Linked DNA regions of Nothobranchius furzeri. The protein of the gene in region 2 binds, or shares a complex with, the protein of the main gene of each other region. Links are inferred from orthologs where the notes say so. Each region holds a gene or a part of one and is shown on either strand. Other genes may lie near its edges.

What was found. Proteins that work in one complex are often made in the same cells at the same time.
Region 1: striatin (region 2) and stk26 share a complex: the UniProt entries of both Homo sapiens proteins name them as parts of the core of STRIPAK complex. The link is inferred for Nothobranchius furzeri from reciprocal best matches to the Homo sapiens genes STRN and STK26.

What each region holds. Positions count from the first base shown.
Region 1 is NC_091742.1:86,851,052-86,855,748, reverse strand, and holds part of stk26 (serine/threonine-protein kinase 26), read right to left. Parts: coding exon 4,615-4,697; intron 4,056-4,614; coding exon 3,916-4,055; intron 3,835-3,915; coding exon 3,741-3,834; intron 3,470-3,740; coding exon 3,407-3,469; intron 3,250-3,406; coding exon 3,122-3,249; intron 915-3,121; coding exon 899-914; 3' UTR 1-898. UniProt on the Homo sapiens protein: Serine/threonine-protein kinase that acts as a mediator of cell growth. Modulates apoptosis. In association with STK24 negatively regulates Golgi reorientation in polarized cell migration upon RHO activation.
Region 2 is NC_091752.1:1,682,550-1,688,444, forward strand, and holds part of striatin, read right to left. Parts: intron 4,198-5,895; coding exon 4,119-4,197; intron 3,410-4,118; coding exon 3,239-3,409; intron 1,982-3,238; coding exon 1,846-1,981; intron 1,753-1,845; coding exon 1,590-1,752; intron 1,059-1,589; coding exon 948-1,058; intron 1-947. UniProt on the Homo sapiens protein: Calmodulin-binding scaffolding protein which is the center of the striatin-interacting phosphatase and kinase (STRIPAK) complexes.

The sequences.
Region 1 (4,697 bases), on a different chromosome or scaffold from region 2:
GTTTAATTCCACAATTACCAAAAAGCTTCTGAAGAAAAGCTAGACAGTAATAAAAAGTTCACAGTTAAATTAGTCAACAACCTAAAGCAAAGCCAAATGTTTCCGCCTAACAAGTGGAACAAGCATCTTTAGGTTGGAAGGTTAAAATAGCTAGTTAGCTTGCTAGCTGCTTAGCCTGGCTAGTTCCTGTTAGCTCCTCAAAACGAGTCAGAAATGAATTACTCTACCTGGAAAAGAACTTTTACATAAAACTGTTGAAATTCTCACGTTTTTACAGTTTTCATTTTTCCTATTTGAACTGTCAGAGATCTATAAAAACGCTGAGTCATCTCCAGTGATTTAAAGATCACTGGGAGGGGCGACTGGACCTTTACAGAAACCGATGTGTGGGGGGGCTATAATTAAAAACTGTTACTGAGAACTCACATTGGCATATGATCTGACTCAAGTGCTGCTGAACAAACGTACAAACATTTACATCAAACTAAACGGAGGCTACTGCTGCTGACGGACTGCTGGGTCAGACTTTCTGGTGTGGATTGGACAAAAAATGTACAAAATAAGAGGGAAAAAAGGTATAAAAATAAAGTAAGGCACATTATGGTATTTTCAATCATCCAGACCATTTTATTTAAAAATTTAGTTTCAAACTAAACCTGTGGGGAGGGGGGAATCCTCAAACAGCAGCAGTGAGGCTATAAAATATAGTGTATATATTACAATGCTAGTGTGTGTGTTGGGATGTGTGTGTGTGTGTGTGTGTGTGTGTGTGTGTGTGTGTGTGTGTGTGTGTGTGTGTGGAGAGAGGAGACATCGCACAGCAAATCTCCTGTTTTCTTCATCCAGCAGTGCCCCCATATGAAGACCATCTCTTCCTACTTTCCTTTTAAACTGTCCTTCAGTTTGTCGTGTATCTGAAATAAACCAGAGTTCAGGAGAAAGCATGATGAGATGATATCAACTCGGCTCCACGCGAGGCCAAAAGTGTTACGACCCGTCTAGGGGCAGCTGGGCCGTAACAAAGGTTTGGTTCAGGGGCGGCGTTAGGCCCGGCTACTTGGGCTGAAGCCCCGGATCTTTCATGATAAGCCCCGGATCTAAATCGCGGAAGTAACATGCAGTACCAAAGTCACACAGAGAGGGCGCAGCTGGCAGTAGTTTGTAAAGTCCCATTTAGTCGTCACACACACAGGTGTGTGGTGAAATTTATTCTCCGATTTTGACCCATCCCCTGAGTTGCAGACACGCCGCGCTCGGGAACTATTTGGTGGTTTAACCCCCCCAATCCAACCCCGATCCAATGCTGAGTGTCAAGCAGGGAGGCATTGGGTCCCATTTTTCTCAAAATCTTTGGTATGACCCGACCAGGAGTCGAACCCCTGATCTCCCGATCTCAGGGTAGACACTCTACCACTAGGCTACTTAGTCAGTATACAGTTTACCTGAGACTGAAGAGAAGCCCTTCAGCAGCTGGCTTCTGCAGTCTCTGTCTGAAACGCATGAGTGAAGATGGATATAAGGACGTTTTTTTAGACCAAAAGTACAACGACAGAACCCCAGCTCTGATGAGACTGGTGTTGACTCAGGTTTGTGAGTCTTATTTGAAAATATTTGTTGTGCTGCTGGTTTGCCTAAAGTTAGCTTACTATCAGGTAAAGTTGTTGGAGAAAGAAAGGGAATATTCACTATCATCTCACACTAAACACTAACAGGAACAATACTCTGCCCTGAATATGCTGAATATGTAGCTTCAGATTAAACATTATGTGGTACAAGACAAATATATATGATGTTGACTAGTGCGTGTCACGTGTGTGCGCGCATGCGTGTGTGTGCGTGCGCGCGCGCGCGTGTGTGTGCGCGTGCGCGCGCGTGTGTGTGCGCGCGCGTGTGTGTTAAGCCCCGGATCTTCTTCAGTCCTAAATCCGCCCCTGGTTTGGTTTACCATTCACTGCAGATTCCAAGCAACCACACCTGAAGGACTACTTACAAAGATTTATTTACAATATTTACAAATACATTAAGGACTCAATCATTTAACTAAGGGCAAGGGAGGATTAAAAGCTCAGGGTGAACCATGGGCCTAAAATAAACAAAACACCTCTAACTTAAATCACCCAGCAGACCTACAAAAGAAATGAACCAAATGACAACCAAACATACTTCCCTGACTAACCAATACAGGAGAAAACGGTTTCATTCTACTAAAACACACACGTATGTGAACATGTTTGCATTTGTGCAATACCAGATGTACATTAGTATATCTGTGTCCCTTATGCTGCACAGGTTTGGAAACCCAAGTTTTTTTTATTTGTTGTTTTTAGTGGTTGAATGTTACAATAATAACTTATAGCTTTTGTGTGTTTACCTGTAATTTTGTAACTATTTTTCTTCTTTTTCTCCAAATGTATGTGATGCTGCAGCAAATGTATTTCCCCACTGTGGGATTTATGAAGTCTATTCTATTCTCACCATTTACACAGCTCTCGACAAGGCGTCTGCCAGAACGTTGTCCTTACCCTTCTCACATCTAATCTGCAAGTTAAAATCCTGCAGAAACAAATTCCACCTCATTAAATATTGGTTGAAGTTTTGCATCTGAAAGATAAAAACTAATGGGTGGTGATCTGTGAAAACCTTTTAGGCTGAGGAGGGGTAATCTGGCTTTAAATTTTAACCCAGTTTTCTTCTGTTTTTATTTGTCAGGGAGGTTAGTTCGGTCATCAGTTGGTTCATTTCTTTTGTAGGTCCACCGAGTATGTTACGGCCTGGCCGCTCCTAGACGGGTCATAACATAATTGGGGGCTCATCCGGGATATGAACCCGGGACCTCTCGCACCCAAAGCGAGAATCAAAACTCCTAGACCAAGCAGCAGGCTGGAGATGTAGTCTCTGTTCTGTTGTCTCCTAGACCGCCTTTGTCTTAATCTCTTTTAGCCAATCTGTGCTCTTTGTCCAAGCGGTTCACCGATTAGTGGTTTGCCGAGTAGAGGTTATTTTGTTTAGCCATTTTTGTTGCTGCTAATGAGTCCATTTGTTTTAATTAGTCTCTGTTAATTTGTGTAAATAACTTTAAATGAGTTCACCAAATAAAAGTTAAATCAATATATTCTGGTACCTGGCAATGATGTGAGCAACCATCTGGTCCGTGATGCCCGGACACACCTCTTCAGCCAATCGGATGTTGCGTTCTAGCTCTTCAATAGCCAATCGCTGCTCAGAGTGCTCCTTGTGCTGCTGCTTCAACTACAGAAGAGGTGGAATTAGAACTTTACTGAAACAACCACTTAAATCTGGGAAAACCACCCAAAACATTAAAAACATAGGTAAAAATAAGGAATAATAAAGATAGGAAGGATAATAGGAATTTAATGCGTGTGTGTATGTGTTTGTGTCTACACACCTCAGTGAAGACAGGAGACATGACTGTGGTCAGACTGGCAGATTTACTCAGCTGAGCCTGAGCCTGTTTCACATCAGCAGCAGAAAAAAAGAGAAACTTTAGTAAATTCATCATCATCATCATCATGAACACATCTGGAGTTCTACACTCTGCTTTAATGTTTAGTAAAACATCTGTAGGTTTATCGAAAATACAAAAAACAATCAGAGGAACATTTAAATTCATAATTTTGTAGAGATAAAATAGATGACACCAGAAATAACTTTGCTCTCTGTTAAAAGTCTGATTTAAAACAAACAAACAAACAGAGCTCCTTTCTTCAGACTGCACTAACCGTTCCGTTGAGGACCTTCCTGCCCTCTGGTTTCTTCTTACGGACGGTGGTGAACGACCACTCAGGACTCTCGTTGTTTTCTTTATCATGCTCACTTCACACAAGAATACAAGTCTTACTGTTTAACGCACACGGACATCTTCCAACCCAAACGAACACACATTTAAAAACTCACCTGTCTGAGTCGGAGCTGCTGTCGCTGTGCCCCTCCTCCTTCCACCTCCTGTACCTGTCGATCAGCTCGCTGAGGTAAGACGTCCTCTTGCAGTTTCTCACGATGAATTTGTGTTTGAGCAGCTCCTTGGCTGTGGGACGCTGTGAGACAGGACACAGGTTTACTGAGACTGACGCATAAACTCTTCAAACACCGTGGAAAGTGGAAAAGTTCATCATTTGAAACTTTTTTTTACATTTATGTATAAAAATGAGCTATTAGATAAACAAATTTTTCAGAAAATGGGGAAAGAAAATGCTGGTGAGTCCACTAGGTGGCAGCAACACATCACTGTGTCAAATGTCATAAAACCCAAGGAAGTAGCAGAAAAATGAACAATCTGAGCCCAAAAAGTCCTTAAAAGCCTGACTAATAAAATACCTTAGTAAACAAAACAAAACAACAACAATAACACTGACAGCATACCCAATAAAGCTGCTGTTTTTATTGAAATTTTATTTTAAACGACTGTTTTAACAGAATTACTTAACTCTACATCTTTCTGCAAACAGGTGAATATATCTGGCATAAAAGGGGCGGGGCTTAACTAGTAAAGCTGAATAACGAGAACATCTGGAACATCAGCATAAAATCATATCAGCTGAAGACAGAAGCCTCGCTTCAGAAGCTCAGAAAACAAAGTTGACTAGTTGGTCTTACAAAGGACGGGTCCTTGTTGAGGCAGGCCTCTGTGAACTCTTTAAAGCTCTTGGAGAAGTCTCCGATTAGCGTCGGAGGAGGAG
Region 2 (5,895 bases):
AAACAAATTACCGTACTACGGTGAAAAGATGATGTATAGCCAACCCTAGATGGATTTTAAATGATTTAGCATGGATTATAAATGTGTTATTAATACAAGTGTTTGTGTGTCATTTGAGACGTGTAGCTCTCAACTGATTTTTTGTAAATATTTTACCAAAAGAAAAATATTAAAATATATTAGAAATATCAAGCCCAAACAGAAATGATGTCATCTGCTAATCAAAACCTCTCCAATTACAAAAACCCACCTAAAATGTTCAAGCAAGACCCCAAAAATGAGCTTAAATATTTGCTAAATATTCAATTTTACTCAAACTCTTCCAGAAACTCCCTCCTTGTGATCTCCACACACCCACCAAAGCGATAAAGCGCCAAGGAGGCAAAGAGGGGAAAAGAAATTAAATAAGAAAAGCAGAAAAAAAATAAAGTGTAAAAGAAAAGAGGCGCTGGAGTCAAGAGGGATGGAGCAAGTTGTTGATCTCATGATCAGTCGCAGCAGGGAGAGAGCAGAGCTGGTCCAAATGTGAGAGAAAAATCTTAATATCTGTCGGTTAACCCGCAGCTTAATGATCTCTCTACTGTAGCATCAACACGTCTGACAGACGAGAAAAAAGATGGTGATCATTATGTTACGATGACTAAAGACACGGAAACAGATGACAGGGACTCAGGCGGACAGCCGAGTGCCGCTGATACTCAACAGTGTGGACGCCATGATGGTGTGATGCAAAGGAGAGGAGAAACAAGTGGGACAGACAAACATGCATCAAGCAATAATGAGGAAATGGAAGGGGGGGGGGGGGGCACGCAAGAGGAAAAGAGCTAGAGAGAGAGAAGAACGATGAAGAGGCTTTGCTTTTGGTTTGAGGCTTTTAGGCTGGAAAGTCAGACTCTGTAAAGAGAGGAGAGGGAGGGAGGGAGGCGGCAGTGCCTGACAGGACTTACTCTTCACCCCCTTTTTCCCCTTGCGCTCCTTTTTGTACTGCTCCTTGAGTTCGGTTATCAGGACCGGGTCCACGTCCCAGGTCTCAGAAATGGGACCTTGCTTGTCCTTTTCTAAACAAGGGGGAGAAAACCAGACCGAGAGGCTGTTGAGGAAGCGCCCCGGTCGAGAACAGATGGGCCTGGCAGAGCAGACACCTCTCAGGGGTTTTACTCCTCTGGACGTCGCGCTGCTCTCAAACCCTCCAGAGGAGTAAAAGTGTTCTTAAATACTGGGAGCGGAGCCGGCAGGTGTCTTCTCTCTCCATACGCGTCGGTGTCGAGAGACAAATTAAGTTGTTTAAATTTTAAACACCTGAACAGGTCGGGGTTTGGTCAGAGGAGACACGAGGCAGGAGACACATTGTGGACACAAACAGGATATGGGGACAAACAGACAAACTATGAGTTAAACGCTCCTGGTGTCGTGATTTATGACCACAGCATGAAAAATGAATGACGACTTCTCCATGATCGGCTCCAAAAACAAGAATACAACATCTTAAGATCATTTTATGAAGTATCTGAACTTATCGTCCAAGAGGAGCTAAATAATCTAACTGCATCCATAATAAATAAATAGTACATCAAGACATTTAGACTCACCCCAGTCTGTGCCGTCTCCAGTCCCTCTGGACTCTGACGAGGTGTCCGTCTCGTCGGGGCTGGACAGGAAGTCAAAGCCTTTCAGCGCCTCCTCGGCGTCAGGGTCCTCACTGGTGTCCATACTGGCTGGTGATGATGACGAAGGAGGTTTCTTCCTCATGATCTAAAAATGATAAGAAAAGATTTTTTTTTTGGGGGGGGGGGGGGGGGCACGATTGTGTCAGTTCAGAAGGGCGAGGGGAGACGAGTGTCTTACAGTCCTGGATTCCACATTAGTCCTCTCCTTCCCCTCACTGTCCTCCTCCTCATCTTCATCGCTGAACTCAGCCGCTGCGTTTTCAATGAATTTGAAGGCCTCCAGGACGGCGCTAGTGTCGGAGAGCTCAGCTTTCCTGAAGGGGGACGTTTACGACTGGTTAGATTAACAACGTGTCCAGGATTTATCCAGTACCCGTTTCTAATGGACCAAGGTTCATCTGAAAGGCCTGAAATGTTCCTGGAATATTTCTGCTGGCGATGAAACGATACAAATATAACTCAGGATCATTTTTTGTCAATAGATACACAAGAACAGGTCGATGCAGTTTGTAGAACAGATGAGTAGCAAGTGGTAGTAAGAGCTGCTCTGCGTTGGACCAATCATGTGGCTGGAATGGAGCCGTGCAGCTCGGTAGCAGCTGGACGCGCTAACAGCTAATGTTTGAGCAGGGCAGGACTTTTGTCAAAAAAGGAAAAATTTGTGTCCAGAAATAAAATAAAAAAAAGACAGAAGACACAGCGGATGACATCAGTTGTGTGGACGCGTTTAAGCTTTTTAAACATGAAAATATGCCTTTCAAATTATGCTCATTGCATATTTGGAGAGCGAAGCCTCTTATCGCCCCTGTTTTTATGTTCAAATACAGTGATCGTTCGCTACTTCGCGGTTCGTTTATCGCGGATTCACGACTTCGCGGATTTTTTCTTTGGAGCCTTATTCAAGGGAAATTCGCCGATTCGCGGTATTTTCTATGCGAAATATCAAGAAATTCCTGTTTTTTTTTTCATCAAAAAATGCACTTTTTGTAATAAAACTATAAAAAACCAAGTAAAAAAAATTTCTATGTAAAGGGAGGGTTTTAAAAGTCTGAATACTGAATACGTACCTGTTAAATAAATACTGTAAATATGGTGTCCCTACTTCGCGGATTTTTTCTTTGGAGCCTTATTCAAGGGAAATTCGCCGATTCGCGGTATTTTCTATGCGAAATATCAAGAAATTCCTGTTTTTTTTCATCAAAAAATGCACTTTTTGTAATAAAACTATAAAAAACCAAGTTAAAAAATTTTCTATGTAAAGGGAGGGTTTTAAAAGTCTGAATACTGAATACGTACCTGTTAAATAAATACTGTAAATATGGTGTCCCTACTTCGCGGATTTTCACCTATCGCGGCCAGGTCTGGAACGCATCTACCGCGATAAACGAGGGATCACTGTACTTCAACAAAGGTTTTCTACCTCTACTAGAAACATGAATCTGGTAATGACGGACTTTGCTCTAATGCTAACAACCGGAACCTAAAGCATTATCTAGCATCCCTAAAGAAATAACTCTCACAAAGAAACCATCATTTCAGCTTCAACACACTTTTAAGCTGAGGACACCTACCCTGGTGTGCCGATGCCCTTAGTCGTTGAGTCTGTTCCGTTGACCGAAGGCTCCGTGTTCATCCGTTCACCCGTTTTCCCGCCTCCGTCTCCGGCAAGTCCCAGCAGAGCTCGGACCCGCTGGGACTTCACATCCAGGATGGTGTCTGTGTAGCCGACCTCCTGCAGGTACCTGCAACGGGGTGAACTAGATTACCAGCAGGCAGTGAAGTGGTGGTCGCACGCTTGGTTACACCTGCAACTCGTGTTGTTTCTGACCAAGACCCAGTGGATGACTTTTAGACAGCAGCCGTTAGATATACACCTACAACTGAACATGGTGATAATTTTATGGATACTAAGCTAGGTGTGCTAGTAGCTGAGAGACATTTACAACACGAACTCTGAGTGCTAACCGACGGTACAAGGTCAGCACCGTGTGACATCATTTAAAAACACGATTAGACCAACAAAGATCCACAGCTTTCCTGTTGAGGTATGTGGGTACACGGCTTCGGGTAGCGCCACAGAGCCATCAAGGTAAACCAGCCAATCAGCATGCAGCTCCTTTCTGCCACCATCCCGAGCCGTCTTTAACATAGTGTGTTAGGGTATGATGTGATTGTGCTTGGCGATGACGTCACTTTATTTAAACAGACAGACTGGAGAGCAGGACCACAGAAATGACTCCGACTCCGTGGTAACAGCAGCAGCCGTCCATGTGAGGGTGCTGCTCACCACAGCTTTTACCCTTTCTGCTCACAGAACCACTGGCCTCACAGTCCGTTTCACAAACTCTACAAGAAGCGAGGACGTTAGCCTGCCAACACGCTGGTATTTCTATTTAACAGATTCAGGAGGTTGTCCGGAGTAAAGCGTCAGCTTTAAATAAAAGAGCTCACTGTCTGAGGAGCTGCCGGCCTTGTTTCCAGGACAGCTGATTGTTGAGTGATCCAGAAGTCTCGTTTTCGTTGGCCTCATCTGAAGGAGAAGAGGAGGACACAAATCAGCACACCCACCCAACACTAAGTAAACAAGGACATTCCTGCATCACCATGGCCTGGAAACTAAACACAGTCTTAACACCTGAGTGGAGTCGAACGACAGTTACAGTCAGGCAGTCGCTCTAAAGCTTTAATCGTTGAAGTTAAACCTGGAATCACTACTGCTTTCTGTGGAAGAGCCTTCCTATGTTAAAACGAGACGTGTCATTCCTGAGCTTGTCTTCTGACACACACGTGGTTGATCTTTGCTCCACTGTGTCCTGTGACACGGTGAAAAGACACCACACAACCTTTGGACCTCTAATTCTAAGCTTGCTTTGATATTTAGAAACTGTCTGCTCACAGAGGACCCGAAGGGGGTCGATCTGGTGAGATGGAGAAATGAAGATGCCTTCAAAGTGGGTCATAGCTGGTTCAGAGAGGGTGATGGGGAGGCAGGTGAGCCGCGCTCTCCCTCCTCCTTCACCTTCCCTAATTCATCAACACTTCAAGGGTTCTGCGTTTAGAAAAGCTCTCATGAATAGAAATGAGGAGAGAGGAGAGCAAATAAAATGAGAACTGGAGCATTACTACAGTCATATAATAAGAAGCAGGTACTCTGCAGACGACAGAGGGAGACAAAAAAAAACTACTGTTATGGAAGCACCGAACACATGAGCATGAGAAGAATATATTATAACCACTATCTGTTATCTGAGTAGTTATCTCTCAGGGATCTGGCTGCTGATGACTCAGAAAAACTAAAATGTGAGCAAAAAAAAAAAAGCTAAATTTTTACTCTGACTCTGAACTGGTTTGAATAAGACTTATGCAAAAAGGTATGTGTGCAAATATTCATTCAATTCAAAATTCAAACATACTTTATTAATCCCAGAGGGAAATTCAATAGTTTCAGTACAATTGTTTTCAGTATGCAAATGTTCTTGCTGTGCTTAAATCACACAGGGTCTTAATTCTTTCTTATTTAAACCCAAAGTTGTTTCTCGCCGTTGCTGACCTGCAGAAACTAAACCAAAACGGATTCTGGGTGCTTGGAACAAAGTCTGACTATTCTGTCAGTATCTTAACCATTTCATGCTCAGTGGGGTGGTGGAGAGCTGGTGAATACCTCCAGCAGTCAACGGGCGAAAAGCAGGGGACACCTTGGACAGGTCTGACGCTACAACTGCAGTCGCTATGGCAACTCTGTCTCCTACCCCAGCCTGGGCGGGACCGCGGGCTGTGAAGGCCGCCGAATCGTTCCAGGAGTCACCGTGCCCTCCAAACCTCAACGAACTCCCTCCCCCTGTCCAGACTGAGGTGACATGCGCTGCTCATCGTGGCTGCAGGAACTGACGTGTGGAGAGTCCCGAACCCACCACCCCACCTAGTGGACACTTATGTTGTGTGATGTCTGAAGTCTGTTGCATTTCTGTCTGATAGGCCTGTAGCGACGCTTCGATGACGTCGAGGATTCGATTCTAAAAAAACGTCGACGTCAAATCCGGAAGTCGACGCACCACGTGACCAAAACAGAGCAGCGCGGAGAACAAAACTCCGTTCATCTGATAGACTCAGACTCAGCAGCAATGTCTCAGGTACCCCGGCGCCCTACCTCAAAGGTGTGGGAATATTTTAAACGGAGCACAAAACGTAAAAGTGCCGTTATTTGCAGTCTTTGCACCACGGAATTGGC